4 linked regions of the Tribolium castaneum genome follow. The main gene of each other region encodes a partner of the protein of the gene in region 2 in a complex. Links are inferred from orthologs where the notes say so. Each region holds a gene or a part of one and is shown on either strand. Other genes may lie near its edges.

What was found.
Region 1: Ing3 (region 2) and Eaf6 share a complex: the UniProt entries of both Homo sapiens proteins name them as parts of the nuA4 histone acetyltransferase complex. The link is inferred for Tribolium castaneum from reciprocal best matches to the Homo sapiens genes ING3 and MEAF6.
Region 3: Ing3 (region 2) and Brd8 share a complex: the UniProt entries of both Homo sapiens proteins name them as parts of the SWR1-like complex. The link is inferred for Tribolium castaneum from reciprocal best matches to the Homo sapiens genes ING3 and BRD8.
Region 4: Ing3 (region 2) and YL-1 share a complex: the UniProt entries of both Homo sapiens proteins name them as parts of the nuA4 histone acetyltransferase complex. The link is inferred for Tribolium castaneum from reciprocal best matches to the Homo sapiens genes ING3 and VPS72.

The regions. Positions count from the first base shown.
Region 1 is NC_087398.1:15,237,171-15,244,999, forward strand, and holds Eaf6 (chromatin modification-related protein MEAF6), read left to right. Parts: upstream 1-3,176; 5' UTR 3,177-3,317; coding exon 3,318-3,395; intron 3,396-3,482; coding exon 3,483-3,686; intron 3,687-3,741; coding exon 3,742-3,778; intron 3,779-7,412; coding exon 7,413-7,657; 3' UTR 7,658-7,812; downstream 7,813-7,829. Other genes in the region: peroxisome biogenesis factor 2, read right to left, coding at 1,711-1,920, 2,430-2,846, 2,895-3,005; osteopetrosis-associated transmembrane protein 1, read left to right, coding at 1-24.
Region 2 is NC_087397.1:1,046,167-1,053,899, reverse strand, and holds Ing3 (inhibitor of growth protein 3), read right to left. Parts: upstream 4,621-7,733; 5' UTR 4,507-4,620; coding exon 4,479-4,506; intron 4,402-4,478; coding exon 4,330-4,401; intron 4,283-4,329; coding exon 4,137-4,282; intron 4,091-4,136; coding exon 3,891-4,090; intron 3,845-3,890; coding exon 3,601-3,844; intron 3,419-3,600; coding exon 3,255-3,418; intron 3,206-3,254; coding exon 2,980-3,205; intron 2,931-2,979; coding exon 2,814-2,930; 3' UTR 2,489-2,813; downstream 1-2,488. Other genes in the region: inactive pancreatic lipase-related protein 1, read right to left, coding at 172-283, 409-457; uncharacterized protein LOC103313454, read right to left, coding at 4,671-4,897, 4,947-5,227, 5,275-5,447, 5,489-5,611, 5,657-5,818, 5,858-5,977; CAP-Gly domain-containing linker protein 1-like, read left to right, coding at 6,115-6,428, 6,478-7,733. UniProt on the Homo sapiens protein: Component of the NuA4 histone acetyltransferase (HAT) complex which is involved in transcriptional activation of select genes principally by acetylation of nucleosomal histones H4 and H2A.
Region 3 is NC_087396.1:10,838,801-10,846,723, reverse strand, and holds Brd8 (bromodomain-containing protein 8), read right to left. Parts: upstream 4,990-7,923; 5' UTR 4,589-4,989; coding exon 4,198-4,588; intron 4,077-4,197; coding exon 1,960-4,076; 3' UTR 1,559-1,959; downstream 1-1,558. Other genes in the region: ejaculatory bulb-specific protein 3, read right to left, coding at 417-601, 656-836. UniProt on the Homo sapiens protein: May act as a coactivator during transcriptional activation by hormone-activated nuclear receptors (NR). Isoform 2 stimulates transcriptional activation by AR/DHTR, ESR1/NR3A1, RXRA/NR2B1 and THRB/ERBA2.
Region 4 is NC_087397.1:8,920,122-8,927,476, reverse strand, and holds YL-1 (vacuolar protein sorting-associated protein 72 homolog), read right to left. Parts: upstream 3,836-7,355; 5' UTR 3,690-3,835; coding exon 3,553-3,689; intron 3,503-3,552; coding exon 3,376-3,502; intron 3,320-3,375; coding exon 3,223-3,319; intron 3,172-3,222; coding exon 2,721-3,171; intron 2,332-2,720; coding exon 2,112-2,331; 3' UTR 2,076-2,111; downstream 1-2,075. UniProt on the Homo sapiens protein: Deposition-and-exchange histone chaperone specific for H2AZ1, specifically chaperones H2AZ1 and deposits it into nucleosomes.

The sequences.
Region 1 (7,829 bases), on a different chromosome or scaffold from region 2:
TTAAGCCACAACAGCCAGTCATAAAACAATGTGATGTTTTTTATTAAAATATTTACAATAAACAAGTTTTCTAATAACATATTTATTTTTAACTTATCACAGAAACCTTATCACACAAAACGTTGGGATTTCGATGTTCACAAATTGGACACTCGTATTTCGAATCCGCGGTCTGATTACCCTAAAAAGAATTTAATAAGACCTGGCGATTTTTAGAAAAACTGCGGGTGCTGTACAATTTTTATTAATTGCCGTATTTTAAAAATAAAAAATTAAGTATCTAAATGGCTTTTAATGTGGTATAAACTGATGTTTTTATTTTATTTTTCCAAATGTCATGATATATCTTGGACTACATTTAACTTTCTTATTTTAAATTGAAACCAATATTTTTTTTTTGTAATTTGGAAGGCACATTAAATTTTTTTGGTACAAACAAGTGCAATGTGTTCTACTTTTATCAAAAAAATGGAAAAATTGTCAAAGTTGGAAAAGAATATAAAAGTTAATAAAATCTAGTTGTTTGGTATCAAATAAGAAATGTCAATGTTATTATTTCAAAAAGCAGCAAATAGAAGAAAATATTGACAATATTTTAAATTAAAATAATTCATTTTAAAGAAAAAGTACTTGGAACAAGATTATTTTTAACGTCAATATCTTTTATGACACCATGCAACTAGATTTTTTTTTCAACTAAGTATTGTTTTTAAACAATTTTTAGTAAAAGTAAAATATAACACATTCTTAAAAGACTAGCTAATTTATTATATTCATAACCATACCAATTTAAAATAAAAAGTTGAATATAACCCAACAAATTCTATGACAGAAAAATTTAAAAGCATCTGCTTATACTAGATTAAAAGCGATTTAGTTTAGTTTTTTAACTTTTAAAATCGACACATAAATAAAAATTCTACAGCGCCTGCCGTTTTTGAACAATCACCCTGTATAAACTTCATTCTTTTTTAATACTTGTCAAAGCGTTGTCATGTTGGTATGAGCCACCTTCACCTACCAGTTTTTTTTATATAAAATTTGTTTACACCTGTTAAGCTTTTATATCCCATATTAGTTCCTAGTAGAATTTTGCAACAACGCAATTGCATTTTTTTTGAGTAAAATGGAACACAAATTGAGTTTCTGGTGGGTTTTCTTGGCTCAAAATTTGTCGTTAGGATTCAGTTTAACACAGATTTTTTTATACAGAAACTCTCAATTTAACTCAATTTCACTCCAAAAAATTCAAATCGCTGTTGCAATTCTATTATGAACTGAAATGGGATATAGCTAATATAATTTCTAGTTTCAATGAGAGATTTAATAATTAATAACACTATTCGACATTTTTATAAAAAAAAATCGTTTAAAATGCAAAATGCGACGTTCGCATTTCTATAGTTTTGAAACAGCTAATATGCAAATCTGAAAATTTTTACAAATCTTTAGTTTTTTTGTACTTAGTGTAAATGGTCGGTTGGGTTATGCAGACCATAAAATTTTAAGTCGTTAATCTACAAAATAACTCGGTGCATTGTACGTGTTGTAATTAATGTAAAACAACTTGAAATTTGGACAGATTTTTAAATTGAATTTGACAGTTAAAAAATTACGCCAACCTTAATTCAAAATATTAATGTTTTCGCTAATGCCAACCCGACGGCTCTTTGACATTTGAATTTGACTACAAAAAAATATGGACTATACCTTTAAACACACGTAACAAAATACATGGGCACATCCCATATGATGAGGCAAAATAGGATTTTCCCCACAATGTGCACACTTGGAATGCATGGTCATGGTACGCGAATTGAGGACAACATAAGTAGGTTTTTTGTGGAATGGATTAAAGTGCCTCATTGTTCTCTTAATTTTGTGGTAATTAATTAGTGGGATTATATGAATAAGAACATCCTGGAAAAGTACTTGATGCACCAACAAGCGATTAATCATTGCACCAATTTTTCCGTTCATTGTTCTTGATTCGTTAAAAAAAGTAAAATATTCCAAAATTGCACAGTTGATTGCCTAATCTCAGACAAATAATACAGGATGTTTCACATAATTTTACGCGACCTGCGCCTCTAAAATGCCACCTACAACACATATTCCGATATACGAACTCGATTACAAATTTTGAAAAACTGGATTGTTTTTTCTTGTTTGTTCACTCCTTCAAAAAATTACGTTTTTAGTCAATTAGTGATTAAGATAAACAGATTACTGTCACGGGTTTCCACAAAATAAATAATCAAATGTGAATTTTTTGTATCTAGTGTTTTGTGACTCTTGAATATTTGGGTGCGTATGTATACATTTGGCGCAGGCCTCGTAAAGTTATGTGAGACACCCTGTATAATTATAATTACTATGGTTATCTAAACAATCAACGGAAAAATAAATTAAATTGAAAGAATTCTTACGATAAATCCATTCCAAAGTAATTCTCTAGATAAATATTTCGCTTCAAAATGCCTTGGAGCAGTTTTGGTTGAGTACTCTTGGTTCAAACCCAAACACCTTTCTATCAATAACGGTTTAACCCCACGTCGTAGAAATATGGACATATTGATAAAATTCAATAAAACTAAAACCATGTGTATCTTAAACATAAACGTGTTAACCTTATGCGAGGGCTTCCAGAACTCGAGACGATGTTTAACGTAATCAAAACAGTTCCCAAACAAGTAAAGAATTTTCTTGAAATTCGACATGTTGCTGTACTTTATTGATAAAAGTTGTTGCCCAAAAGTGCTCTCATTGCGACAGACTGAATTTTTCAGAAGCGCTAAACGCACAATTAGGCCCAACTCAGGTTCAATGGGGGCTATATAACCAGGCTAAAATTACACTTTCAGGCAACCAAACCTTAACAAGGGGGCACTTACGGGTAAGAAACGGCTAGTCTCGTGAAGAATTCGCATAAGGGCTTTGTAGATTTCATTATCAAGGAAAATTGCGTTCATTTGGGTGACTCTCAGTAACTTATCGTTGGACATTTTGCACAAGTTTTAGACAAATTGAGCGTTTGGAATGTTGATTTATTGCAACTATTTGTATTTTTGGCACTATTTGTTGTTTTTTAATTATTTCATAATGATCATAACCTCAGAATTTGTGGAACTTTTCGGGTTGTTATGTTGGCAGCGACGTCACGGGTGACGTATTTGACATTTGGCGAAACGTCAAGTTGTGAGGTGTTTTGTTGGAAATAAACAATTTTTAGTGTAATTACTTGAGGCACTTAGCATAAAACAACGACTTTACAAGTGTAACGTTTCCTTTTATCGTTTTGTGATAATAAGAACAATATGTCGGCCAAAAACAATGTTTCGGTGGATGCCCGCCAAGAGTTAGCAGAACTTGTTAAAAGAAAAGCAGAAATTGCGGTAAGAGTTACTTTATAAATGTTGAAGCTTTGTATTAAGAAATGTTTTTCTGTTTGGCTTAAATTCGCGGTCTTTAACCAATTATAGGAGACGTTAGCAAATCTCGAGCGCCAAATTTACGCGTTTGAAGGTTCCTATTTAGAAGACACTCAGTTGTATGGAAATATAATTCGAGGCTGGGATCGGTATTTATCGAGTAACAAAACAACAAACTCTAAGGCTGATAAAAGAAATAGGAAATTTAAAGAAGCCGAACGTCTGTTTTCTAAATCGTCCATAACCTCAATGGCTGTGAGTTGGGACGAGTTTTGTGTATTTTTTTTGTATTTTAATGAACGTTTTACAGGCGGTTAGTGGAATTGTTGACCAAAATCAGGAGAAAAGTAAGAATAGTTATGAAATAAAAAATCATTCATACGTCTAGTTTTTTTTGTATTCGTTTTGTAGCTTTTTTGTAGTGTTTGTGGTAGTTTTGCTGTGAACTTTCTTCTAGATAGATGTTTTCTCTAGTTTGGTCACTGCCTCTTATATGCACTGGAAAAATGAGAGACATTCCAATAGCTCTGTAAATGTTTTACTCTAAAATTATTCAAATTTTGCAAGCAATGAAACAAAATATTACAATAATTTAGAGTTTATTTTCATTGCTTACAACTCCCACAGGGAGTAAATTGGGAGGCATATTGAACATTTTACATTTAGTTTTACTTATTTATTTGTTTTGTTGTTAGTTGTGTCATAAACCCTACAAAAACAATTCACCAACAGTAAAACTTCTATAATCCGAACGAATTCTATTGCAGCAGGTTCTTCGGATTATCGAATTAACTTTTTTCTCTTACTTTAATTGAATAAAAAAAAATAAGTATTTTTATTTAAAAAATTTCATAGGGACATATACCGAGTAGAACAAACAAATATTTTTTTTACTTATTTATTTTATTGTTATTATTTATCATAAACCTCTAATAAATTCGGACTGATATTTTTTGAATTAACTATTCTCTTATTATTAAAACGAATAAAAAGAAACATTTTTTTTAACTTAGAGTGATCCTGTTAAGAGAATTGTAATTTTATATAAAAACTGTTGTTTGCATTGCAACACTTCGTTCAACAGAAAGTTAATTGACAGGTATTTTATTATTACTAATATTATTATTATCACAAAAGATCATAGAGGAGTCCCTGTCGGGACTATTTTGCTTAAAATTAAAATAAAAATAGTGGTGGTAAATACGGTATTTCAATTCCACCCAAAAAGGTTGTCAGTTCTTGATTTAAATCGCAAGATGTTAGGTGCATTTTTTATGACCATTTTATGTAAAACGAACACTAGGACAATCAAATGTTTATATTTTTATTTATATTTCTATTGTTTAGTTTTTCATAAACCATGCCAAAATAATATACAGTAAAATTTTTATAATGCGCACTAATTACTATTGCAAGAGGTTTTTAGAATTACCAAATTAACTTTTTCCTCTTAATTAAAATGATTAAATAAGCAAAAGTAAGTATTTGTATTAAAAGAAAAACAAATATACCTAGTGAGCCTGTTAAAAGCATGTTTCAATTTTATATGTATAACAGGCAGTTACGTTTAGAGACATTTTGAACATATTATTTAAAATTTAAATTTGATTAAAAAAATCAAGTTTCTATTTTTTAATTTTAGTTGTTTTAATGTTATTGTTTGTTTTATCATAAACTATATAAAAATACACTAAAACCTATTATAATTCGAAATACTTACTATTGCAAGAGGTTCTCCAATCGGATGATCGAATTACATTTTTTGTCTTCATTAAAATGAAATAAACAAAATACTCGTAAGTATTTTTATTAAAAAAACAATCAGAGAATTACATATTTTAATCACTATACAAAAATGTTGTAAACGTTGTTCATCTGGAAGTAAATTGAAAGACATTTTGAACATTTTGAGGAACAACGAATAAAAATATTTTTTACTTCTTTAATTGTATATTTTATCGTTAATTATGTCTGCAAGAACATTACACAGTAAAACCATTTTAGTCAGAATTACTATTACAAGGGGTTTTTCTATGTAACTACAGTAGCGAGGGGTGCTTCTTTTAGTGAGTTTTTCTCAATATTTCAGAAACCATTACAGATAATATTACAATATTTGATACAGTTAATAATCTTTATATTCCCAATCGAATTCGAGAATCTAATGTAATAAGAGCTGTCAGGTTGGCATTATCATAAATAGTATTTTTTTTTAATTAAGGTTGGTGTAATTTTTTACCTAGAAAATTCAATTTCCAAATTTTTCAAGTTGTCTCCAATTTACAAGACGTACAACAACACATTTAGTTATTTTAGACCACCTTTAGAGTAACGAATTAACGATTAACACTAACGTCCAATTTTCAAAAATGTCAAATCTGGTGTTCAAACTGTCAAATACAGAATACAGCCAGTTTCTAAAGTGGTTGAACATGAACTTTTAGGGTGTTACAGTCTTTATCAGAATTTTGACACTGACAGTTGATTATACAAAAAAATTAACTATAGAAATTTTGAGCAGGGGCGTTCCAAACTGGAGGGAAGTAGGGTAAAAAATATCCTAACTATGTGGATTTAGTTTTGTAACACATGGGCTTTAAATAAATTCTGTACTAGTTCAGGATTAGTTCTAAAAATCGTTTTTGTTTGAGTTTCAGAATTTGCAAAATAATATTGCATTGAAATTGAAATTGAGGTGTATACGTACAGTGTCATTCTGCTAAAAGTATTTTCTTCCTGTGTCTCAAAACTCAATAATTACACAGAGAATTTTTCGGCAGTTCTTTATACATAATTTAAATTAATTAATATTAAGTCACTGACGAAAAAATTCTAATGATATTCTTTCTGAAGGGAACCATTAATAATAAAAAAATTGTTTCTAGCCACCAAAAAATAAAATTATTGTGTTGTTCATATTTTCCAACATTTTTAATTGTAATCAAACTGTAATTAAGATTGAACTTGTGATTTACTTTGCCAAGATTAACTTAATCGATGATTATTTTTTTTATCTATTTTTGCACAAAAATTTTTTCATTGGCTTAATTAAACTTTATTTTAAAAATTTATAGGAAAATTCCGAAAAAAAAATGCGTAGAAAGATTTAATTGATAGCAAACGCTCATCTTTATGATTTTAGCTTTAAAAATATACTTTTTTAGACTAACCCTGTAGAAACATCGAAAATTATGAATTTAATATAAAGTTGAAAAAAGAGTAAATTTCTAATGCCCCAGTGTTTTTTATATTAAAAAATAATTAAAAATGAAAATTGAGTTTTAAGTTAAGGGTAAATAGGTCATAAATACCTAATTTTTAGTAGCGTTTGACGCCTGTCATATTTGAATTTAGTGTACGTTATTCTAATTAAGTCAGAAAAAATTCCCATGCTGTAACTTGATGACTATAAATGGAAAATATTTACATAATAACAGTGGGGCAAAAATGCGGAAGTAATCCGTAAATTAATTATGGCCCCAGCAATTTAAAAACCATTGATGTCAACATAATTTTTCTAATGAACGCTTTTTAGAAATTAATTGTGTCGGAAAATTTGCTTGTTTACCGTGGAATCTCTCTCATTTTTAAAGTTACTTTTACTTTTTCATATTTTTTGTTTTTTTAATAATTGTATCCTGCCTCCTATTCACTTAATTAGCAACTAAAATTTTGTGATAGTCTATAAACGTTGTTTTTGGCGATGGAATGTAGACATTTTGTAATAACAGTCGCCAGAACAATCGGTCATTGTAACGCGTTTTGTAGTAATTAGTTTGGAAATACCTTAACAGAAAAATTTACAAGGCCACTGATCCGATCTACTTACATTGCACAAAATCGCCGCTTTTATTCATCGTTCATTTTTTCAGCCGAATGATTTGGCAATTAAATTGCTAAAACCGTCTAGTTTTTCTGTACAGGTATTACGTTCAAGCAGTTACTTTTTCAAGTAATTTTAGTTTTATTTTTTACTCGTAGTGGAGCCGCACAGCGATACTGAATCTCAAACTAATGGAGATTCTAGTGATACTAACTTAGGTCCTAATTCGAACCATATAGATTCTGGGATGAAAAATGCAGGAAAACACTCGACGAATTCCTTGAATGGTGTACAGAACGGGCTTGACCATCGAAATAGCCCCAATAGAGACGTTTCGGCCAAACAGAAAAGTTTCAGTGCAAGTGCTAAAAAAACTAATAATAAGAAAGCTAGACACAGATGACTTTTTGTGCTGTTTTCTCAACCTATTTGTGTGTGTTTACAGTTTTAAGGTTTTTCAATTGTGAGTTTGGAATCTAAGTACCTGCATATTGAAATTGTACACTTTTTACCGATGTAATTGTTTGGAACAATAAATAAAATTATTCAGCAATTAAATGATTTCCTTCATTCAA
Region 2 (7,733 bases):
ATTGAAGAAATGGCAATGAAAGAGCTTTCGTTCACTGGATTATTTAATATCTAGCGTAAGCTTTATTAAAACCTGACCTTGAGCGGGGCTTGCTGAAGTTCAATAATTAAACTAAACAATTCCGGTTATTTTTGCAAAATCCAACACCGTGTCAAATTTTTTGCTACTTACACGGTATAGAGCTGGAACGCGATGTCCCTAATCGGATCAATTTTGTGACATTTGTGTTTATTGATGGGGTAGAGCTGGACGATGGCATCGTTAATTGAAACAGAGGGAGGGCCTAAAATTCCGACATTCACGTTTCGTAAAAAATGCAAAACTAAAGTGCAATCACTAATCCGCCTGAAATGTCTCGCGGAAGCCGGAAGAACAAATCTCAACCAAACTGGAAAAAATCCAACATACCTGGTAATGCACTCAATAAACACACAAATAAAAAATCAGAAACACCCATGTTCAGCGGGCTCAAAGCACGATTTGACTTGGTGCCACTCGAAAAGCATAATGGGGGGATCACCGGCACGGGCAGGGATAAATAGGGAAAAATGATCTTTTTGTAGACAAGCAGCAATAGTGTTTTTTAATTGGAGTTTCATAATATTGGTGCAATATGCACGGCGCTCAGTGCAGCTGAAAATTGATAAAAACTATTCGCGTGCTATTTTACTAATTGCAATTACATTTTTTTCATATATTTGCATATTTCGGCTCGGCTGTTTCCGCTCGTTTAGCGGTGCTTTCACGTGATTGTTTATTTAGCAAAATACGGTCGGATTCTGTAATTGAACATCTCTATTAGTTTGAGTAATTACAAACCGAATATGCGGCAGCTAATTTACAAATTGGTGCAAAATTTAAAGCCGTATTCTATAATTAAAAATGCGGTGTCATTGGTTTGAGAAAGTTTGCATTATAGGGCGTGGGCAATACATGGAGAAGTAACCCAATTTACTATTAACCTTTGCTTGAAGTATTGATGCGATGTCAACTGATAAGAAAATATTTTCAATCACGGGGAAACAAATGACTAATTTATTTTCTTTCTAAAGCGGATGCAAATTGCTTCCGTTTTGGAGAAGTAAGGGAAAGTTCTCATTACAGTAAAGACGTTTTTCTTCGAAGAATTTGAATTTCCTGTAGATTATGACTCGAACTTTAGCGAAATTCCTTTAAGGTAACTAATGAGTAAGAGTTCCCATAAATTATTTCAGAATTTTACTTGATGCACTTTCTTGTGAGACGGCAACGGAAGCTTTATACACACGTAGGCGGTAATGACTAGTTTGGTGCGTTTCCAATAAACATGGATCTAAATCCTTATTATGTAACACAAATAGTGATACCTGTTTCACGTTAGCATTTTCTAAATCATGTATTAAAATCGTGAAGATATGCGTCCGCTTATACAACAGAATGATCGGCCAATTTCCAATTTTTGCTTAGATTTTTCCGATGAAGCAAGACGGAAAATTTCTTAATAATTGTTGCTACATTTAATAAAACTGGGCTTTCGAGCATTCATTCGCATTTCCCATCAATAAACAATTTTATCTCGCTGATGCTCGCTGTGAAAATCCGTCGGTATTATTTCGCACGGACGCATTTTTCTCCATTCTTCGGAGCTGCATTTGCAGACAATATGCGCATTTCAGCCGTTCATACTTCCGTATTGCAAAATTTAATATCGATGCACTAATTGCATCAAATCTGACCGATGTACAAAGTTCTTTACTTTTGCCCCATTGTTGATTTGTTATCGTAGTCCATCAATGCAATGTGAAAACCCTGACATTGCAACGGCAAAACTAGCTCGCATTGGAATGTCGTAATTTTTTCCTTGCAACAACGAGCATGATTTGAATTTTTTATCGAATTCGAAAATGAAATTTCTGACCTTCGTTTCACAACTCACGATTTATTGACCCTATGACTTTGCTGATTAATTGCATGGCTTTCGGTGACTCGGAAAAATGGTACGCGTGAGTGAAGGTGGAGGGTTTTTACAAATCCGACCGTTTCACGGCATGCAATTTCGCTTGCATTCAGGCTGATATTTTCGTTACTACTCGTTACCTTCATTAGATTTTAGGTGCGTTTTTAATTAATTATTATTTTTACAAGGAAATATTAGGTAATGTGTGTAAAACTCGGTGCAAATGGTCGCTGTGCATGGAAATGTACATACATATTTCGCAATGTAATATTTAAATTATTTACCGTAAAATTCGAATATTGAGCTGGTTCCCTTTTCAAGTGGGTTAAACTACCGATTCCATTAATTTTCATGTATCAAAATTATAATATCTAATGTGTTTACGCTCTTGTTGCTTTATTTTGTTTTACATTAGACTGGAATTCAGATTTTGATCCTTGCTTATATGTACTTATTATCTGTGTGATTAGTTTATTCAGTTATCAATGTCCAGTAAAGTTAATTAAACGTCTTAAAAAGGATAGGGTAGGAAATGTGTCAAATAAAACTCTGTTCTTGTTCAAGTTTTATAATTTATAAGCGTAATAAATCGGTTTACAATACTATTTAAGAGTAAAAAGTTGAGCATACATAAATATTACATTTTCATAATTACACAAGATCTTAATATTAAATAGGAAATCATTAATCACAATAAAAACACAATGACAGTTGAATACTTTTATTTTTACAACTATTCCGTTTCTGTGGAAAAAACAGATTAAATAATCTCGAATTTCCCTAACATTTTCTCCTGCACAAGCTCACTCATTTCTGATTCTTTTCTCCCGCCTCCGAGAAATTGTTACAAGCCTTTTTAAACTCTCTATCAACACATTCAATTTTTTCGGCTCCCTCTACGTTTCATTGACGCTAAACACTGTGGACAATACCACTTGCCTTTTGGCGGTGCAGTAATACCAACACATGGGTAATGAAACCATTCAGTTGGACACTAAAACAACAATAATAAAACACACCCAGAAACATTTCACAGAACCTACGTCTTCATTATCACAAGCGACCATATCTCCGTAAGAAACCTGATTACAGAGACAATATCTAGGCTCGTTGGGGTCATAAGTCCACTCCCCATCTGTTACTTCCGCGCTTTGTGAAGACACATCTATTGACGGTGATTCAGGGGCGGCACTAGCAAGCGGAGCATTTAATATTTGTTGAACTGTTGTTGACGCCGAAGGTGCGCTAGCACTACCACCTGACCATTTCCTATAATTCAAAATTAAATTTAACCAAAAAAAATGGGAAAAATCGTTACTTTTGCTTCTTCTTGTTATTGGCATGGTCCTGTTGGATGGCTTGAATGGCCGTTTGCGCCGCCCCAGCCAACTCGCGCCCGATACTAAACTCATGACCATGGCTTCCTGTATTTATCGCCTCATACGAGGCCTTAAGACTTGCTGTCCTCCTGCCTTGTTGCATCTGATCAAACAGTATAGTATAAAATATCAAGGTCGTAGAAAAAATAGTGTATGTAGGTCGCACTCAATGGCTATTAATACGACACTCGCCCCGGCTCGTGTCCTAACAGCCACCACTGATTGAATGGATTATTTTTGACAATTTTCTAGGCGAAAAATGGTATAAAATTAGTGATTTTTTACCTGTTGAGTGGCAGCGATGGCCTGTGAGGCCGCAGCCGCAATGGCAGGCCCCGCGCCTATGTGCCCCAAATTATAAGTAACGTTAGACTGAGCTGGGGGCGTTGATTGGCCTATTGAACTATGCCGGGTCTCGACGAGAGGTATGGGGGCAACAGCTTGTCTTTTTTCGGCAAATGAGGTCTGCAAAGAGTTACTACTATCCCGTCTTTTTTCGCTTCTTTGTCGATATCTAAAGCTGCTAGAACTACATTAGCACTAACAAAGATTACGTTCCCATAAATGAAAACCACCTTTCGTATCTATTTTCTTTTTGTTGTTGGGATGAATTTGTTGAATTAACTGGAGTGTCTAACTCCAGTGACCGCTTTTCTAGAACTTCAGTTATGCCCTTATTGTCTGCCTCTAGTTCGCATTTAAATTTATGTAGTTCTGTGTCAAGCCGGCGCAGGTATTTATCAACTAGTTCAAACATTTGATTAGCGAGGTGCACCTTTGATTCAAATTATCATTAAGTGGTCACACAACCCCACAACTACCTTCTCATCTGCGTCCTCGAGCGTCTTTTTGTACTCTTTTTTCACAGCTTCGAACTCGACTTGAATGGCAGGCGGTAATTCACCGGGATAGCGCTTACAATCATTGAAAAAAATTTTCACCCGCTTTTCTAACTCATCCATGTTATCTACAATTAATAATTTATTTAATCAACTCTAACTATCAAACTCTTACTTTGCACTGTTAAGTCTAACTCTCGCATTTCTGTAAACCTGTCCCGTAATTCCTGAGGTAGGTGCTCGATCACTAAAAATTCGAATTGAGCGCCACATTGACAATTGGCGTTTCCGTCAATGCCACGCCAAAGTAACTGATTTACTTACTTTCCAAGTAATCTTCCAGATACAACATTTTGCTGTATTAATGTGGTACGGAATAATAAATAATAAAGTAAATACGTGTTTAATTACGACTTTATTTCCTGATATAAACCCGAAACTGCAAACTTCACACAATTTGATGGAAGGAAACTGCCATTTTTAATTCCAAACGACAACATGACGCCCCGAAAACCACTAACACTCAAGCGCCCGATTCAATTTCCCACAGTCCGAGATGATTACAGGGGCTAAAGGCTTGCCGATACTGCGGCCATACCCCTCAATTTTAAACAAATTCTCAGCCCCTCGCACAATATAACCGAACACAACGTTCTGCATATCCAACTGTTCCATTTTCGTGAAGGTGATACAAAAGCGCGAGTTGTTATCGTGTTTGCGGACACGCACCATGGACAAAACTCCTGAAACAACACTCAGGAATTTTTCGTAAACTAAATTCGGGTTTTGTACCAGGTTTCGTGTGCTTAAGCATGTGGCCTTCCTCTGCAAAGTATTTACCATAGATTGACACCCCACCACGTCCTGTCCCTTTAGTTATGTCCCCAGTTTCCAAAAAACGGCCCGGAACTATTCGATTGATTGGGCAGTTTTTATACGAAAGGTTCTGTTTGTTCTCACCGCAGCAAATTGATAAGAAATTCTGGACTGTGACAGGGACGTGGTCGTGATAAAGCTCGATCTCTACGCGGCCCAGAACTGGGCCATTTAGCACTTGAAATTCCAAAAAACACCTTCGGGGTCAATTAATTAAGTCATTGTTTGATTTTTTTAATTATACCGGGGCCGTTCTGATAATTTCTCAAGTCCGCAACTAATTGACGGCTGTTTTGCAATAACTGAATCGACTGAGACTTTCTGAAGGATGACCAAAGGGAATTTGGAAGTTAGTTTCAATTTTTCAATAATACTGGTCCAGAATTTACGTAACGACTCACAATCGTAACTGGAAGTCTGTTAACTGTTAAATAAAGAAACTAATTTTTTGGGCTTACTGCAGCCATCAGTTTCTCGTATATTGCTTTATTTTTGCGGTCAATTCTCTTCATCCTCATAACGTGAGCGTGCCATTTCGATTTAGACGCATAGGCTTCAGGATTATACGAATCAATTTTTCCCTACGTTAAAAATTCACTTCAAGACAATTAAAATCAAAATCTTACGATGGTCCTATTTATCGTATTTATGGACTTAAGGAGCTGCTTATTCTCCTTATCAATCATTTGTAACCGCTCAGCGTCTGCCCGTAACTTTCGAAGGTTGATATAATTGAACGGATTCATGGGGAGGGGTTTGGTATCAGTTTTCGGTTTCGCTGAAAAAACCTAACGGGAGTAAACCAAGCCTGAAGCTTCTGCTTTTACCTTATATCTGTGTGCGTTATATTCTGCCAAGTCTGTTTTAATGACTTGGGGACTAACCGACCCAATCAAATATCTGGGAATTTTACAAGGCCTGAACACTTTTTTACTTTTCTTCTTCATTTTGATGCGAATTTAGACACTTGATAGCGGAAACGTCCAAAATGACAGTAATGACCAATCGTGGAAAAAATTAAAGAACGACTTGTAAATTTATTCGTATTTACCGAACAATATGCACACATTTTTCGCTTCCGAACATGACAGACACCAATAGCGAGTCCAGTAAGTGTCTTGAAAAGTACGAAAATGTTACGACAAGCGACAAGCGGGATTTGAAACTAAAAGAAGCGGAAAAAACCATCGCCAACAAAGACGTAATTATTAAGATGCTCAAACAGCATGTAAAAAAATTGGAAGAGTCGTATAAACAAAATTTGAAGGAGACTGAAGATTTTCGGTACAAGTTTTGCCTGGCGTCTGAACAGGTCAAAAAGTTGCGGGCAAGCCCGATCAAACAGAAGGAAAAAGAGCTCAAGGAACTGAAGGGCGATTTATCGAAATGGAAAGAACAGTAAACGTTACATAAGTTATTATTGTTTTTATTTTTATCGTATTTACAGATGTGATGAGTATGTTCTGTGTAAAGATCGGTGTCCTGGCTACAGTTCGCGCTGTAGCTTCATGCAAAAAATGAAGAATGTTGAAAAATTTATGCGGGCGCATTACGAACTTTTGGAATCTCTTGTTGACCGAATATCGACCAATAACGGCGCCACTCAAGTGGACTCGGACGCTATAGAAAGCATCAAAACGAGCTACAATAAGCAAATAACGACACTACAACAAGAAATCGTCCGTCTGAAAGAAGAACTAGCCAAAGTGCAAGACAGTGCTTCAGTGAATAACGACGAACCTTTCGTTGAGATAAAAGACAGTCTTTTGCGAGCGTACAAGAAGAGCAATTGCGAGTTACAGAAAAAAGTCAGTCAGTTAATAGAAAAAGTTCCTGGCGGCGTCACCGCCCTAACATCACAAGAAGAAGACGAACGAGAGTCTGGCGAACGAAAAGTCAGTTTTTCCAATAAGCAAAATTCGTTAAGTTTCGACCTCGGCCCCAAAAACAAGGACGAACTCCACGCCAAATTGAAGAAAAACGTTGAAGCCATTAAGGAAAACGGAAAATCAACGGAAAATAAATGCTGCGGTTGTTCCACACAAGACGTTCAAGTGCAAACTCCGCCAAAAGTGGTGGAAAAAACAAGCAGTGCTCGAGTCGTTAAAAAAGTTGATGTGAAAAATGAAATTAATGACGATCGATATTCGGTGCTAAACCCTACCTTTACACGAGAATCAACCGAAGAAAAACTCATTGCTGCCACAACTACGTACAGTGATCCTGATGCGAAAGCAACGAAAATATCAATCACTGAAAAACCGAGCGTGATGGAGTGCGAAAATGACGACGATGAGAGTTTTGAAAGTGCAACAGAATCCACTTTTTACAGCCACAGTTTCAATCGAATGAAAACCCCCAGCATGTTCTCAGCTGGGATAACAGCGGCCGGCAGCAGAGAAAAAATAACAGAAGAAAACAACAGTTCTGAAGAAAATAAACAGTGTGATTGTTCGTATGAAGTCGTTGCAGCTCAAAACCAAAAGTCCGACCAAAATAACGAATTAAATGACTTGACCGAGAAACTGAACGAAATTCGGGACAAAATTGGTAATTTACTCGAAACACAATCACATGCGTGTAAGGAACTGGAGATTTTGAAAAACGAAATGACTGTAACACGCGACTCGACCCAAACTTGCACCGAAAACGTCTCAAAATTGAAGGAGACGATCGACGAACAAAAAGAAACTTTTCTGAATA
Region 3 (7,923 bases), on a different chromosome or scaffold from region 2:
GAAACAAAAAACAATTCAATTTTAACAAAAATGATTTAACACTTAAAATAAAAAAATTGTAATGCCTATTCACTTTGCTCAAGCTACCTTAGGGTAAAAGCCCTTTCTTATAAAAACTATAAGAAATAGGTATTGGGTCAGTATACGCGTAGGGAACGAAATAATAAAGCATTATTTCTTTTGTAATAAATAGACTAGTCTCAATTAGTTGCGTGTAAGTTGTGTGACAAAATAAATTTTGCAGTTAAGGATTTTGTTAAATGAATGAATAAACTGAGTAGCATCATAACATGTTTATTTATTTTTATGCATGAAAAAAGCAAAAGCTACAAAGGTTTAAAGCAGATTACTTCCACCTTGCTAAAGCAGTAGTCAACAATATTATTTATTTATCGGTTCTCGCAATTCAGAAATGATTAGCTTCCAAGAATAAATTTGTTAAAATCATCGGCGTGGCTCAAGTCAGGATCAAAACGCTTCTGGACTTGTCTCCATTCATCAAATCGGTTTTTTATAACGAACGTTGCCAATTTAATAACAAAATTCTTCTGCTTGTCATTACAGTCAGCGCAGTAATTGCCGAGAACTAATGGAATGTGTTCTAGAAACCAAAATTTGTTTGGAAAAAAATATCACAATAAGTAAGAGTGCGCACCTTCTAAATCTTTTTCCGCAGGATTACACGGTCCCTCTCCTCTTAGACAAGCCATGTATTCGGTTACCATTTTATCATCGGCGAGTAATTTATCGATATCGACGGTTTCATAAGGAACACTGGCACCAAAACTCATATACACTAACGACATCAAAATAAAATTAATCACAAACAGCTTCATTTTTAACGAAAAATCTGGCCGAAAATTCGTGAAGGGAACCTTTTGTTAGAAGCCGTCAGTTGCTTTTATATAGAAGTTGGGGCTTTTTAAACTAAAATATCATTCATTACGACGTAAAAGTATAAAATATGCAAAGTGCTCCAATTAGAAAAAGTGTCTTTAGTGCGTCCTAATTGTATTTATTAAATTAAAATTGCAGTACTTGGTATGAACAAAAAATTAACAATCACATTAAATTTTATAATTGAGATTTTTGAAGTCATAATAAACGTTTCGGTCTATAAAAAATATTTTTTACTTTTTGCAAATGAAGAGGTCGCGCTGTTCCAAGCAAAGCAGTCGGAATTAAAAAAAAATCTTTCATTAATAAACAGAGCCTTTTTTAGTCTTTCGTGGTAATATGGTTAAAGATAAAAGTAATTAGTATAAGAAACCATGCTGAAGAAACTTGCTTCACAGATTTTTCAAAGCTGATTGTGCTTGATTTAGACTTTCCGGTAATTCGGAAGTCCTGATTAGCGAAACTTAAAAAAAACGCACAAAATTCATAGCTTTGGTATGAGTCGTTTTTCAAAAAAAAAGGGATAATTGAGATGACCTATAACACAGATATGATTTTTTTCATACGTATGCAAGCACCTGGCAGGGCTTATCTTATCATATATTTTATATTAATTAAAACTTCGAAATTTTTGGTAATGTTAAGGGTAATTAAAACAGGCTTTACCAAAAAACATTTATTCAGAAATCTTGATACAAATTTAATTTTGAAATACTGTTTTTAACATCATTTGTACATCAAAATAAATTTTATTTATTACACATGTCTTCAATGATGTAACAGAAATCGACAAGTTATAGGTATTTTATATTACATAATATAAAAATATTTACACAACGATGCTTACATAAGAAATCCTAAGTAGATATGCTTACATTTATTAAACACGGATATTAATGTATTTGATCACGAGCTACAAAGAACTGTACATCAGTATTTGTATTCGAAAATTCTAACAATACGAGCATAAAATTGTTCATATTTATTTCAATATGAATAAAACTAATACTAGAAAAAATCACTAAAATCAAACAGCTTATCCGAATACCGCAAAACGTAATGCTAATCATCCTTCCTTTTCTTACTCCTGGAATTCTCCTCATTACCCCTCTTCCTCTTACACCCTGGCTCACTAGTCCTAGTTTCCCTCCTAACAGGCAAATCCTGCGATTGCGCTTGCAACAAAATCTGTATTTGTTGCATCGACTCTTGTTGCATTTGTCTCGCCATATTATAAACCGTATCATTTGTTTTATTATACATAATTGCATTATTAAGCATAAGAAGGACGTCTCTTTGAAACTCCTGCGTTGTTCTTATAGCCCCATTCTCTATATTCTTTCTAATCGTCAACAAATCCATGGGTCTATACACCACACTGTGATACCCTGGAGCTTGGTCATCGGTGATCGGTTTAGAAAACAGTGACGCGTATTTATTTGCAGCCAATCTACTATACACAAGCATTATAGACTTCTTCCAATTGCGATACTCCCGATCATCATCGTAAAAATATATACTGGAAACTGGTGATCCTGGAACTGAATCAATCGGAGTCGCAGGAGTTGAAAGTCGCCTCCTTGTCCGTATTGTAGACACATCTTCCTCCTCCGTCCAGGGACTGTTAGATCTTTCATTCTCGCTCTTAATCCGCGATTTGCTGTCTTTACGGTCCAGTTCGCTGTAATCCCGGTCAGAGAAACTCTCTTCAACCAACTCACTTTCGTCTCTTTGCGCCTTTTCAATGGCCAAGAGAACATCAAATTCTTTATCGTCCTTCTTCTTCGTCCTGGAATAATCGCGCTTTGCTTTCCCGGTCTTGTCCACTTTCACTTCCATATTGATATCGTCGTACAATTCCTCGTTATAGTCGGAAGTCAATGTGGTTGACTCGTCCAGTTTCCTTTCGTCTTTCTTCTCAATCTCTACACTAGATTTTTCATTTTCTGAAACTTTGGCGTCTGTTTCTGATTTTATTTCCGCAACTTCTGTACTTTCCCCTGCTGTTTCTTTCTTTGGTTCCGCTTTAACGGAATGGGCTGGATCTTCAGTTTTATTGACTTCCTTGTCAGTATCCTCATCATCCATAACTACAACTTCTACAATTTCGACGGATCCAGGAGTTGTGCTTTTATCTTTCTTATCGGAATCATCAGTTGGTTCGTTTTTTACTTCTACCAGTTCATCCCGAGATTCTTCGCCATTTGAAGTTAAGTGTTTATTGTCTGAATTTGGGGCTTCGTCAGTAGTTTGTGACCGATCGTCGCTGTCCTGTGCTACCATAGTTTTAGAAGCGTCTGTTTTCACGGCTGTTGCAGGTTTAGCGGGTTCAAAAACTTCCGGATCTTCTTGGAACTCAAACGGATCTATTGCCGGTGTTGTAGTTTCCGTCCGTTTTTCTGTTTCTTTGGTTTCGTCCTTCATATCAGTTTCACTCTCTTCGAAATCTTCCAGTTCCAAATTTAGATTAAGATCACCGTTTCCATCCAGTTGTAGATGCTGTTCCGGATCTGCAACTATATCCTGCGCGTTCTCAATCAAATCGGAGATGATAACATCAACGTCATTCTTTATTTCTGGAAGTGGGCCATTCTGGATCAAGATACTGCTCGCCAAGTCATCAATTTTCAAAATTTGTAGATTGGCATCATCGAGGATATCGTTAGTATTGACATTCTGTTGTTGGGTTTCTTCTCCGGTTGGCTCTTGTCCTATAGCTGTACTAACCAAAAGTTGCAATCCTGGAGAAACTGTTTCTCCAGTTGAGGAGCTTAAAAGACTGGCAATCATGGGGCTAGTAGTTGTGTTGGTTGGCCGTTGGTTGGTAATCGCTGAATGCAATATTGAGGAAGTTGTAACGTTTGGAACTTGTGATGGTGATTTCAGAAGACTTGTCAGAAGTGGCGATAGGGCCGGTTTAGGGGGCTCCTGCACTAGGATTTTCTGTTCTTCTGTTGTATTTTCCATCTCTGGGATTGTGTCCATAGCTTCGGAATTTTTACGTTTTTGACCAATCACCGGGGATGGCTTAACTGGTCTCCACGCTCTTTCTATTTCCTGTTTTCGTAACTCCCTCTCCTTTAGCCACTGTTCGTGTGCCAGGGCTTCTTGTTCCTTCCTGTGTTCCTCTTCATCTATTTCCTTACACCAAATATCCAGTTGTTCTTCACTTACGTTACCTTTAAATAAAACAATTAATTATCAAAAAATACTTAACCGAATTTCCGCAACAGTCTTAAGTTTGAGAGGCTCTAATATAGCCCCTGTAACTTCAAACAACTTTAATTTAATTGTGAATACCTGACTGAAGCAGAGCTTTATCTCTCTGCAATTTCTGATATTCTGCTTTTTCTTCCGCTAGTAGTCTCTTGAGCTCAGCTTGTCTCTCGGCCAAAAGTTTGCGTAGAATGACTTCGGCGGGGGTTTCGATAGTGACTTCGCCCCCAGACGTTCTTTTCTTCCTCTTAGGTGTTTCAACATTCGCTAAAAGAGCCCCATACTGGGCTGCACAGTTCTTCTGGTGGAACCAATCAGGGGGTCTGTTGGGTTCACCAAAGGGTTTTAAAGCTCGGCTCACACTTGTTAAATTCTGGTCCATGTTACGAGCCACTGCTAGAGCCAACTGTTCACGGATTGACCATTTATCCAGCGGTTCACGCTTTATTTGTAAACGTTCTTCAATTGAACTCATTTTGAGGTTATGTTGGCCCGAACGTCCAAAAATCAAATACAAGAACCTTGCCAGGAAAGTGACTAATAGTATCACTGAATAAACATTCTTGAAGTAGAAATTCGCACACAAGAATTATCGTTATAACAAGCTTGAACGTTGTTTATATTTGTCAACTGTCAAAGTGTCAAACCTGGACAAACTATGCAGAAGTTTTGCCTGATTTTTAAAGAAAGTCAACCACAATCAGTGTAAGATTATGTAATGTTTCAAGCACACTTGTCTAAATAATTTCGTAAGATCTTATTATTCATAAAAATTAATAATCTTGAAAATTTCATACGCAGACATTATTAGATATTACGTACAGACCGTGATTTTTGACGAGGGCTTTTATGATCGAAAAGTATTAATTTAATGACTGTTTTTTAATTAATTAGTGTATTTTGGGTGTAGCTGGTTTAATGTTATCAAATACATATAGATTGTGGCCACCTTTTTGTATTTGTCGAATTTTATGGCATATTCTGTTATTAAGTATTTCGGTAGCTTGCGCGGTAGCTACTTTAGTGGCAAGTTGTCAAATTTTTAACCTCACTTTCTTGCGAATGGAATGCAATAAAAAATGTTTTTTTCGAATGCTTTGGAAGCTGTTTCTGGTGGTAGCTCCACCCAGTGTCCCAAAGTGAAGTAAAAAAAGAAGTTGTGAGTGTATACATAACAATCAAATGTAAGGATACTCTTTGAAAAAAAAAAAAAAGGTGGAAACAGTATTCAGAATGGCCCCCGAAGGGCGAATCAGTTATTACATCGACAAATATGGAGTGTTTCATAAAAGTGGTGGAAAAAACGACAAGCCGGTGAATGCACCAGCGTTTGAGACAAGTGTGACAAGACCTTCCTCAACTTGGCTGCGTCTGATAATAATGTTTTGGAATGCAAGAGTTATGAAAGCGGCTTTTCGTTTTGGCGTTGCTGCAATAATCATGAATCAGTATGAGCGTCTGGGATTTGCGGTCCTCTTACTGTGTTTCACGCTATGATAGTTTACTTTGTAACATAGTAGTTGAATAAATTTGTTTGAAATGTTTTTGTGTGTTGAAGGAAATGCGGGCAAACTGTAAAAATGCAGCTTTATTCAATTATAAACCAAATTATAACAACAGTTAAAACATTAAATAATTTGAGATTACTCTAATAGTTGACCAAGAGGGTAGCGATGCGCAATTTAAAATAGGCACTTTTCTACATTTATTTACATGATTCTGAAAAAAATCCCTACTTATAAGGTGAATATGACTGTGAAGGAAATTTTCAACAAATCGTAATTTTGTGAATAAGAAATGATTTTGTTAAAATCGCTCTCATCGTCAAAAGCATTTCCCAAAGTTACGTCACCTAATTTGATAACAGCATGAGCACTTTCGGTAAAAATATAACAGACTTCGTTACAGAATTGCAGTTTTAACCCCTAAAGTGTGTGTAACTACATCCTTTACAACTAAAACACTTCATATACTCTACTCTCATTACGTAACAAAGCAATATTTATAATTTCAGTCTAGGCTAGGATTCATCATGGCAAGAATTTGTGAAACCTATTTTAACATAAATTATATGATATAATTGATATTCATTATTCTTTTACATTCTACTTATAAATAGGTACTCTATGAATGTTGCATCGTGAACGGATGAAAATAAAAGCATGTCAATGTACACTTTTCTATTGCTATTTTATGCTATTCAGACAAGATGAGATCATCCTCCCTGCTAATTCCATTCTTTTATCACTAAAAACTCACTTAACTAAAAATAAATTAATCGTATCTAAGCTAGTCAATTCACTGATGCAACATAACTAAATTAACACATATGCTTTATTTAATAGTTCAGTCAACTACTTAATAAAAAATCACTGTACAATATTAAAAACAAACGTCATTATACAATTTACAAACGAAATAGTTTCATGTGGCATAAAATATACATATAACGCGACAAATCTACCTAGAATGGTAACAAAACAATCGTGGATGATATTTTTGATTTTTATTTTTACATAAAAACTGGGATGGAAAGTTAATTGAATTCTTGTACCATACATTTTTGTTCAAGTTTAACTTTTTGCAAGCACACAATAGCTGATTAAATTTACACCAAATCAATTTGACCAAAAGGTAATCGTGAGTATTTATAAATTAATCAATAGACCTTTGTTTAATGATAAGACATCCATATTGTAGATCACAGCTAACAGTGTAGAGTCTCCTTCATTACATCATTTTTAATTATATTATACAAAGTCGAATTATCCACACGAACACCTCTAGTCGCGCAAATAAATAAATAATTTTACAGACTCATGTTGCATGTTTTCTAAAACGTATAACAATGAAATTTGAAAAATGTTTGTTTTTTTAGAAACACGATATGACTAGATTTGGTCAATTTCTAGAATTGAAAGTGTCTTTAAAAACAATACATTTATCGCCAATTACCAATACCAAATTTACAAAAACGGCTCGTTTTTGCATTTAAAACGGTTATACAACATGATCAGTCTTTGAAATAATAAAAAAAACTATTTTTAGTCAATTAAAAGAAGAAACATCTGAAAGATTACACAACGTGCTTTTATTTGTCATTAAAAAATAAATAGAGTATTTGAGCACATTAAGTAACTCTTTCAGCGCTTTCCGTTAAAACATCGCACTGGACTTGAGTTGTAAAGTCGTTTTCGTTAAGTTCATGTGGCATATATTCAATCGATTTTAAGATATAAATGGTCCTGCAAACTCATAGATTAGTAAGAGTTTTTATCTTAGGCCTAACTTGCACTTTGTTCTATCTCGCTATTTGTTCTAATATACTAGTCTGCAGGATACTTCATGCATTTTACTTTTAGCAAACAGGTGACTTTCTGTGTGCCGAACGACCACGTCTTTCGGCAAACGCATTTTATCAGAATCAACGTTGTTGGTTCGGCGGATGGCGCTTAGCAGCTGGAAAATTCATACAAACTGAATACTCACACTTTTTCACGAACGTACTATGTTTTAAATTGACTCGTGTGGTTTCCACGTCAAAAAAACTTGCTAACATCACTTAATTTTAATAATTCTCGCCACAATTTAAATTTCACAAAAAGTTTTGGTTATTTCTTTAAACACTTAATAAGATAAACATGAGATGAAGTCCAGTGTCGAATTGCTCCAAAGCTGCAGGGCCCCGTTTCAGATTTTATAAAGAAAAATATAAGCCAAAACTAAACTAAATTACTTAAATGTAGGTATGGCAAATAAATAAAAAAGTAATAATGATTATTGAGTCAAAAAATGCTTTATAGACGTGTC
Region 4 (7,355 bases), about 7.9 Mb from region 2:
TACATATACGTTTATAAATAGCATATTATATTTTTTGTATGTTTATGTTGTTGACTTGCGCCAATGTGGAACAAAATATATTTATATAAAAATCGATCAGTTTTTTTATTACCCTTCGAGCAGTGGAATTATCAAAGTTTTATTATTTATTAACTTCTAATAATGCATTAACACTTCTCCACAAGATTTCATAACTACTTCTAATTCCACATGGCCAAGTAAACTAATGTATGGTTGATGATAACGTGTGACTGTGTTCATAGCACTATATTAAAATGTTATTTGCAAATTAACCTTTTGTACAGTTTAATAACAACAATGCCTTCTAATTAATTGCGGTACATACACAGAGAAATTCTTCTAGCACCGAATCTCTTCGAGCACTTTAATATAGTCTATCGAACACTTGCTGCTAGGTTAAATCAGTATTTTATGTGTATGTATAAATTGCTCAATGTTATGCCAGTGTCACAGGCCTTAACGCATGAGGTGAAGCCTCTAATCACACTGAACCAAGCATGAGTGACACTGGGATAAATTGTATTGAATTGTGCCCGTGGTATAGCTATGATACAATACTAACAAACTGTTTTCTTTTCTTTTCTTGTTAACCTGGTTGCCCGGCCTGTAGGCTTGGAGTGCTAACCTGTCACCTGCGCCACTCCACTAACGGAAACACCGGACCATCTGAGGTAGCGGTACGTCTAACATTACATCACTAACATTTTTTTCACTCCGTCATCGTGCATTGTGTACTAAAGAAAGGAAACGTAATCTTTGGAAGCAATAACATTGTAAGTGTGTTTGTTACGTCCCGAGCAAAATTACACGGAATCTCAATCAGTTGTTTTCGAAAGAATCTCAAACCAGATCTGTCCGTAGAGTTTTGCTTGCTCTTTTTTACACATACCTGAGAGATTGTGGATATTGTCAATATCCAGTTTTACTAATACTTGTTACAATTTTTCTGTAAAGTACAAACTTTTTGCGTGCCAATAATGTTAATCGTGCACATGTAAAATAGATAGAGAATTAGGAAAATTCTGTTAGGTGTGGCACTTTTAATTGAATCTAAACTTAGTTGAACTGTACTTACTGAATTTTCCTGTTTTCGATTTGATCAGTTTGTGAAAAAATTGCAATGTAAGGTAGGTATGTTTAAGTTACTTAAAGATGTAGATGTTATTTATGCAAAGGTCGAACAAATTGATATTATGTAGGACAATAATAATCGATTCATTTTTATACTTTTGGAAATTAGTTTCAAACGTTGAAGGAGGGCTCTATTTACTTTTAATTTTTAAAAAGTATCAGCGCGGTGTTTTATATTATTTATTGTTAATTTTTTAGTTTCTCAAATTTATTTAAGCAATACGTGCGGATTATCTCATTTTTTTCCGTCCAAAGTAAGCAATAAATATCAAATCTAGAATCATACTCATTTTGTTGTAACGAGAATCTTTACCTTTTTTCGTGCAATAGTGTTACTATCAGACATGTGCAATTTGTAGAGAATGTTTTATTGAAAATTGTTTTCGGACATGAAATTGTTTTGCTGAGAGTACTTTAAAGATTTTTTAACTATTATAAATATTTACATTATGTTGTACTTAGATTAGAGATTAATTTCGTTTTCTCAGAGTTTTAACGAATTGTATATTAAAACAGTAATCTATTAACAAATTCGCATTGTTAATCGAACTACTCTTTTGATATACACTGTTCATACTCAAGTGCTAAAATTATTTTAACAAAGTAATAATGGCATTAATTAATGAGGTAGCTTATCAAATACCTATTAATTTTATATGATATGTTAAACTAGATGTAATTTATGTGTCATATTAATAATATTTAATGTTATTAATTCTTGTTGTACTTCATAAGCCAATTTTCAGCCAAATTATTGGCTACTGAGATTATGGTAATGTATTATTTGTGCACCAGTTTAATAAATATATTAACTAAACGTTTTCGACGCTTTTCATTCGTCCAAATTTGTTGCAAACTCATTCACTAACATTTAATCGTGTTGATCTCAGACCAAAACAGTTTTATTTGAAAGAAATAGAAACTGTATTATAAAAATTTATTAAATAGAGCAAAATAAATCAACTGTGATCCACCTGATGTGTTTTTACTTTCAACGCCAACTCCCTCCTTAACTTATCCTTATTCTTAACGTACCACTTAAGCCAGTTTGCAACTACTGGATTACTCTTATCTCCATGAGCTTCCAGTTGTTGGTAATAAGCAGAACGAATTATCTTCAAACACATGCTGCTGTGGTAAGGCAGACACGTTTTAGGGTCAACGTACTTTGCAAGGTGACTGAAAACACAAAATAAATAAAAATAAAAAAATGCGTCGCTTTTTAGAAAATATTTTGCTCCCTAATTCAAAAGTGCAAACTATGTCTTTTCCTCCCTAGACAGGAAAGACATACTGTGCACATTGCACCTCCAAATTAGGCGAAAAAAATATATACAGGGTGAGTCACTGTAATATGCCTGCAGATTAAATTGTAGAAAAATAAAAAAATAACCCCTGACATTTAAAAAAATTATGTTTAGACTGCACTGTAAAAATGGAAGACTGTATTATCGGACAAAGAATTTTAGAATACGATACCACTGACGGTGTATGTCATATCAATGACTCACCCTGTACACGTGACGGGAGCAAGAATTGCCCCTGCACATATAAATAGCTATTTTTACCCTGTGACAATGCATCTGAGACGTCGTGGAAGCGGACGCGCTGTCTTTTTTTCAAAAATGCTGTTAAATGTGGCATCGTTAGGGTCATTAAGCACTGAGATAAACGTGCGTTCGCACACGTTTTCTGATTCGTTCTTGATGTCTTTATCTTGATTGATTTCCTCAATGATTGGCATTCGTGTTGATCTGTATTGGATAACAGGGCCATTGATGACTTTTTTCACAGTTCGTTTCGTTTTCTTCTCACTTTCCATCTTTTGGTACTTTTCAAGTGACTTCAAGTTCTCCAATTCGGTCGTTTTTGCTTCTTCGAGTAACTCTTCCTGTGTTGGCACCCATTCTTCTTCTTTCGGTTTCTTGATTTTTTTCTTTTGTTCGAGATTTCGTACTTTGATGCGTTGTGCTGTTGCGGCTGATTTTGCAGCTGTGGACTTCCTGATTGACTTTCTTTCTGTAACACGTTTGTTGCCAAATATTATTAACTAACTCGTTATTTTCAAACCGTATTCTGTGGATTCATGTTGGGTTGTTCTGACTTTAGGGACAGGTTTTGTGGGTTTTGGTTTTGCTTTTTGTTTACTGGGTGCAGGCACTGGTTCCTACAATGTTTCAGATAAAAATTAACAAAAAATCGAACGTCATAATCGTGCATTACCTTGTAAGCCTTTGTAACTAATCTTCGTTTCTTCTTCTGACCCTCCTCCTCATTGTCTGAAATAGGTTCGTCATTTTCGTCAATACTAAAGTCGGAATCTACCACATCTTCGCCTTCTTCCTCCTCCCTGCAATTAAACCATAACAAAACGGAACAAAATGAATCAGAAGTGAGTACTCGTATTCCCTATCGGATTCGGTTTCTTCAAAACCACCATAATTGGTTTTGTAGAATTCGTCTTGACATTCTTCTTCTTCATCTAACAATTTTGCCATACGGTTACCGGCATTTGCCCGTTTTTCTCTTTTTGCCATTGTAACGAATTTCTCGCCTGGGACAGGGACAACAAACCAATGATAAGTTTTATTACAAAGTAAATGGTTTTTATTTAATATTTTTCCTAATTAAATAAAAAACACAAGCACTAAACACCATCTGTCAAACTGCGAAATTTTAAGGTTAGTATTTTGCTAGATACCATAGAATTATCAGTAAGTACCAATAGCTAAGTTTCATATGTCACTGCAACAAGCGTTCGAGTCCTTTCGTATTTTGGTAAAAAAAGATTTTGGCACTTTACAATGAATGAATGGAATAAATACGTGCGTGTGGGAATATTTTTAGAATTGATCTCATTTTTTCCTCCGCAATAACCCCACCAAAAGGGTGAAAATGAGTTATTTCTCGTCTTTTTGTTGGTGGTCCTGATAAATCGAGGGGAATTACAGAATTATCAATAAGTCGTCTTCAGCTGCTGCTGACGTTGCTGTTGCAAAGGTAGGTAATTGTTACAATAGCCAGCCACATTTCCGTTACAAAAAGAGAAAACAAAGATGGGAGTTCAAGGCATAGTTCTTATGACTGCGATGGTTTTTGCAATTGGGTTGGCCATATATGAAGTCTACACTGCTAGAAACAACACAGCTTCTTGTCACCAGAGCGACAATAAGTATACATATGTGTACACACCGAGGGTACAGGAAAGAACACCAGATACAGCAGATACAGGAAAGAACAAGTGAGTAACTTATTATGTAACTGCAACGTACAAAAACACCTTTTTACAGAAAAAAAAGAAGAAACTCGGTTCCGGAATGTGTGATATGTTGTGAACCATTGCCTGAAGGTGATGGTGGCATTATTTTACCATGCAAACATAAATTTCATGATCAGTGTATCACAAGATGGTTCAAAGAAAACAGAAGTTGTCCAGTTTGTCGCAAATGTGCATAAACTAAGATACAGTAATTTTTCTCAGCTAACAAATCTCAACATATCCTAGGTTTATTAGCATTAGGAACAGCATTACAGCTACACTCATGCTTTTTTCCTATTTTTTTAAATAACCTTTGATTAATTAAAACAACTGAAATCATGACAATTATTATGAGCAATATGTACAATTTTGTGCCTTTCAGGATGTTAACCGAATTTTAACATTTATTGTTTCCTAAACTGTATGTAGAATTGTAGAATGACTAGAATATTAATTTATTTGTCTCATTGTTTCTTGTAGAATATAGTTTTTCATTTTTTCTTGTAATTTGAATGAAAGGAAAATGTACAGGTCAAAAATAAAGTTTTTTGAACCATTTTTTGTTGTGTATTACTAATCCCAGCCAATAAGTTTTGTAAAAATAAAGTGAAAAATTACTGTAACCGCGAATATTCCGATTTCAGAGAAAGAAAGTTGTTAGGTTATGTAATATTGTTGACAGTTATTTCTGACAATAACAAAACCCTGTTTATCAGCTTTACACTCAATATGTAAGATATTCGTAAGTGGTTGTGAAGCAAGCAGACATCAAACAACTAGCCTGCACCCTAAAGACACTTTGACCGTAATTAAATAAGTCAAAATTGGGTTTGTAAGTTTGTTGGGAATTTTAGTGCCAGGATGGTTTTCCAAGGATTTTCCTTCTTTGCCATGGCCATCGTGGGTGTTGGCGTCCTCGCTTACCATTTTTACAAAAACAGAGAAGCGTATTTTTACGAAACCCCCCAGACTTACAACATTTACAACCCTCCTGAACTCCAATATCCAACAAGTGACGACTCCAGGTATTACCACCCTTATTTTTGTACTTTCGTGCTCAAATAGATGTTTTAAGCACCCGCAAGAGGAAGGGGGCGAAAATTGACACCTGTTCAATTTGCATGGAGTCTGTTCAAAGTTCTGCCGTCTCTCTGCCACGGGAATCCCCTTCTTCTGCTATTTCTCTGCCGTGCAAACATTTGTTTCACTTCAGGTGTGTCAAAACCTGGCTTGATATGAACAAAACTTGTCCAAACTGTCGCGCGTTAGCCAATGGATTTTAAATCATTGATAGGTTTGTTAATTTTCGAAATTTGTGTAGGGGGTGACAGCTGTACCTGTATTAGACAACGCACAAAAGCAAGGTGATAATTGAGAAATAACAAAGTCTTGTTTTTGAGTTTGTGATATTTAGTTTCACTGGGTTTGTAATAGTCTCTAATAGAGTACTGTGTTGACGCGCAAGTTGGAATTATTATTATTCCTCTCTTGTAGATTGTGATAAAGAAAATCTCGTTTTTTGGTGTGAACTATTAGGTAATTTTATTGTTTCGCCATTTTGTCACTCGTTTACTTTTTTCTTGTTGATAACAATAAAAGGTGTTTACTAAATGTGTGTTTTATTGAAGTAGAAATAAGTGTGATAAATGACAAAGAAAACGTATTAACCTAAGGCTAAGAAACTCTTTCTTGTGTAGGTATTTTGTTTTGTCTATCTTTCTTTCCCAGCTTTTATTAGTTGCATTTTTGATCATTAACTAATTCATGTGGTGTACTTAGTCACTGATACAATACTGCAAAAAAACATCGCCGTTTTTAAAACATTTACCTAGTCCATGATCTTTCGCACTGATGAATAACTTGAGACAGTTTTCACCGACTTTTCGTCTTTTTTTGTTAGATTTTCTTAAAATGTCAAATGACAATTTAAAAAGTGCGCGCGCATGCGCCTAGCCATGTCGAAAATTCATCAATTGAATCTTTTCAAGTTTCAATTTATTTTTCCATATTTATTTCCCGTCATTGTCCCAGTTATGGTGTTTTAATTTCATCTAGCAGCTCGTCCAACATTCATTTTATTACATAAAGGGGTAGAATTCTAAGAAAAGATGATGATTGATGATGATGATGAATGAAGATGTCAGATGCAACAAAGACAGACATATCATTAGTGAATTAACGAAAGGCACGTAGTAATTGTTGTAAAATTTGTAAGCATTTTGATTGGGCTGTTTGAGGTCGGCCATTAAAATTGCGGAGAATACCAATCACTTACGCTTTTTTGTTTCATTGATGAAGTAGATTTTTGGATATGATTGGTCCATTTAAGGTCGGCCATTAAAAAAAGTGAGAAACCAATGACTTTGAATTGTTGGACTCATTCAATAATTTGTGTGAATGATTAAAAGTCAATAAATAATCTAAGTAGTTTTTTCTTAAGCGACCTTCCTTAATGCTTTGCTAAGTTCAAATTTTAGTGAAAAAATTGGAGCTAATTGCCGCAAAACTTGTTTATTTATTGATTTTCTACCTAAAAATTTCGTTAAAAAATTTGCGTTTTTGAAGACTTATTGTTTTTGGATGCACTTCTGCTTTTTGAACGTGTTATTATCGAAGACCTCAGGTCTAATTAGTTAATTACCCCCAGAATGACTCATTTTTATAAAAAGAGACAGACGTATTAGTATAAGAACAGTGGTATTGGTAGAATAGTCAAAAATTAGTTTCTCGTAGAAAAATTTTAATGAAATATGGTTTATATCTTTTTATCAAAATTATTCTGTGAAGGATTGAAGGACTCAGGATTGACTATCAATTAAATAGTTTGATTAAATAATCTTAGAATAAAGTATTTCAATAGGTAGATTTTATTTAGTTGGCAAAAGTTAAGTCAAAATTTTAAAAATTATTATTGTTGTCTTTGTACAATAATTCATTTCTTGCC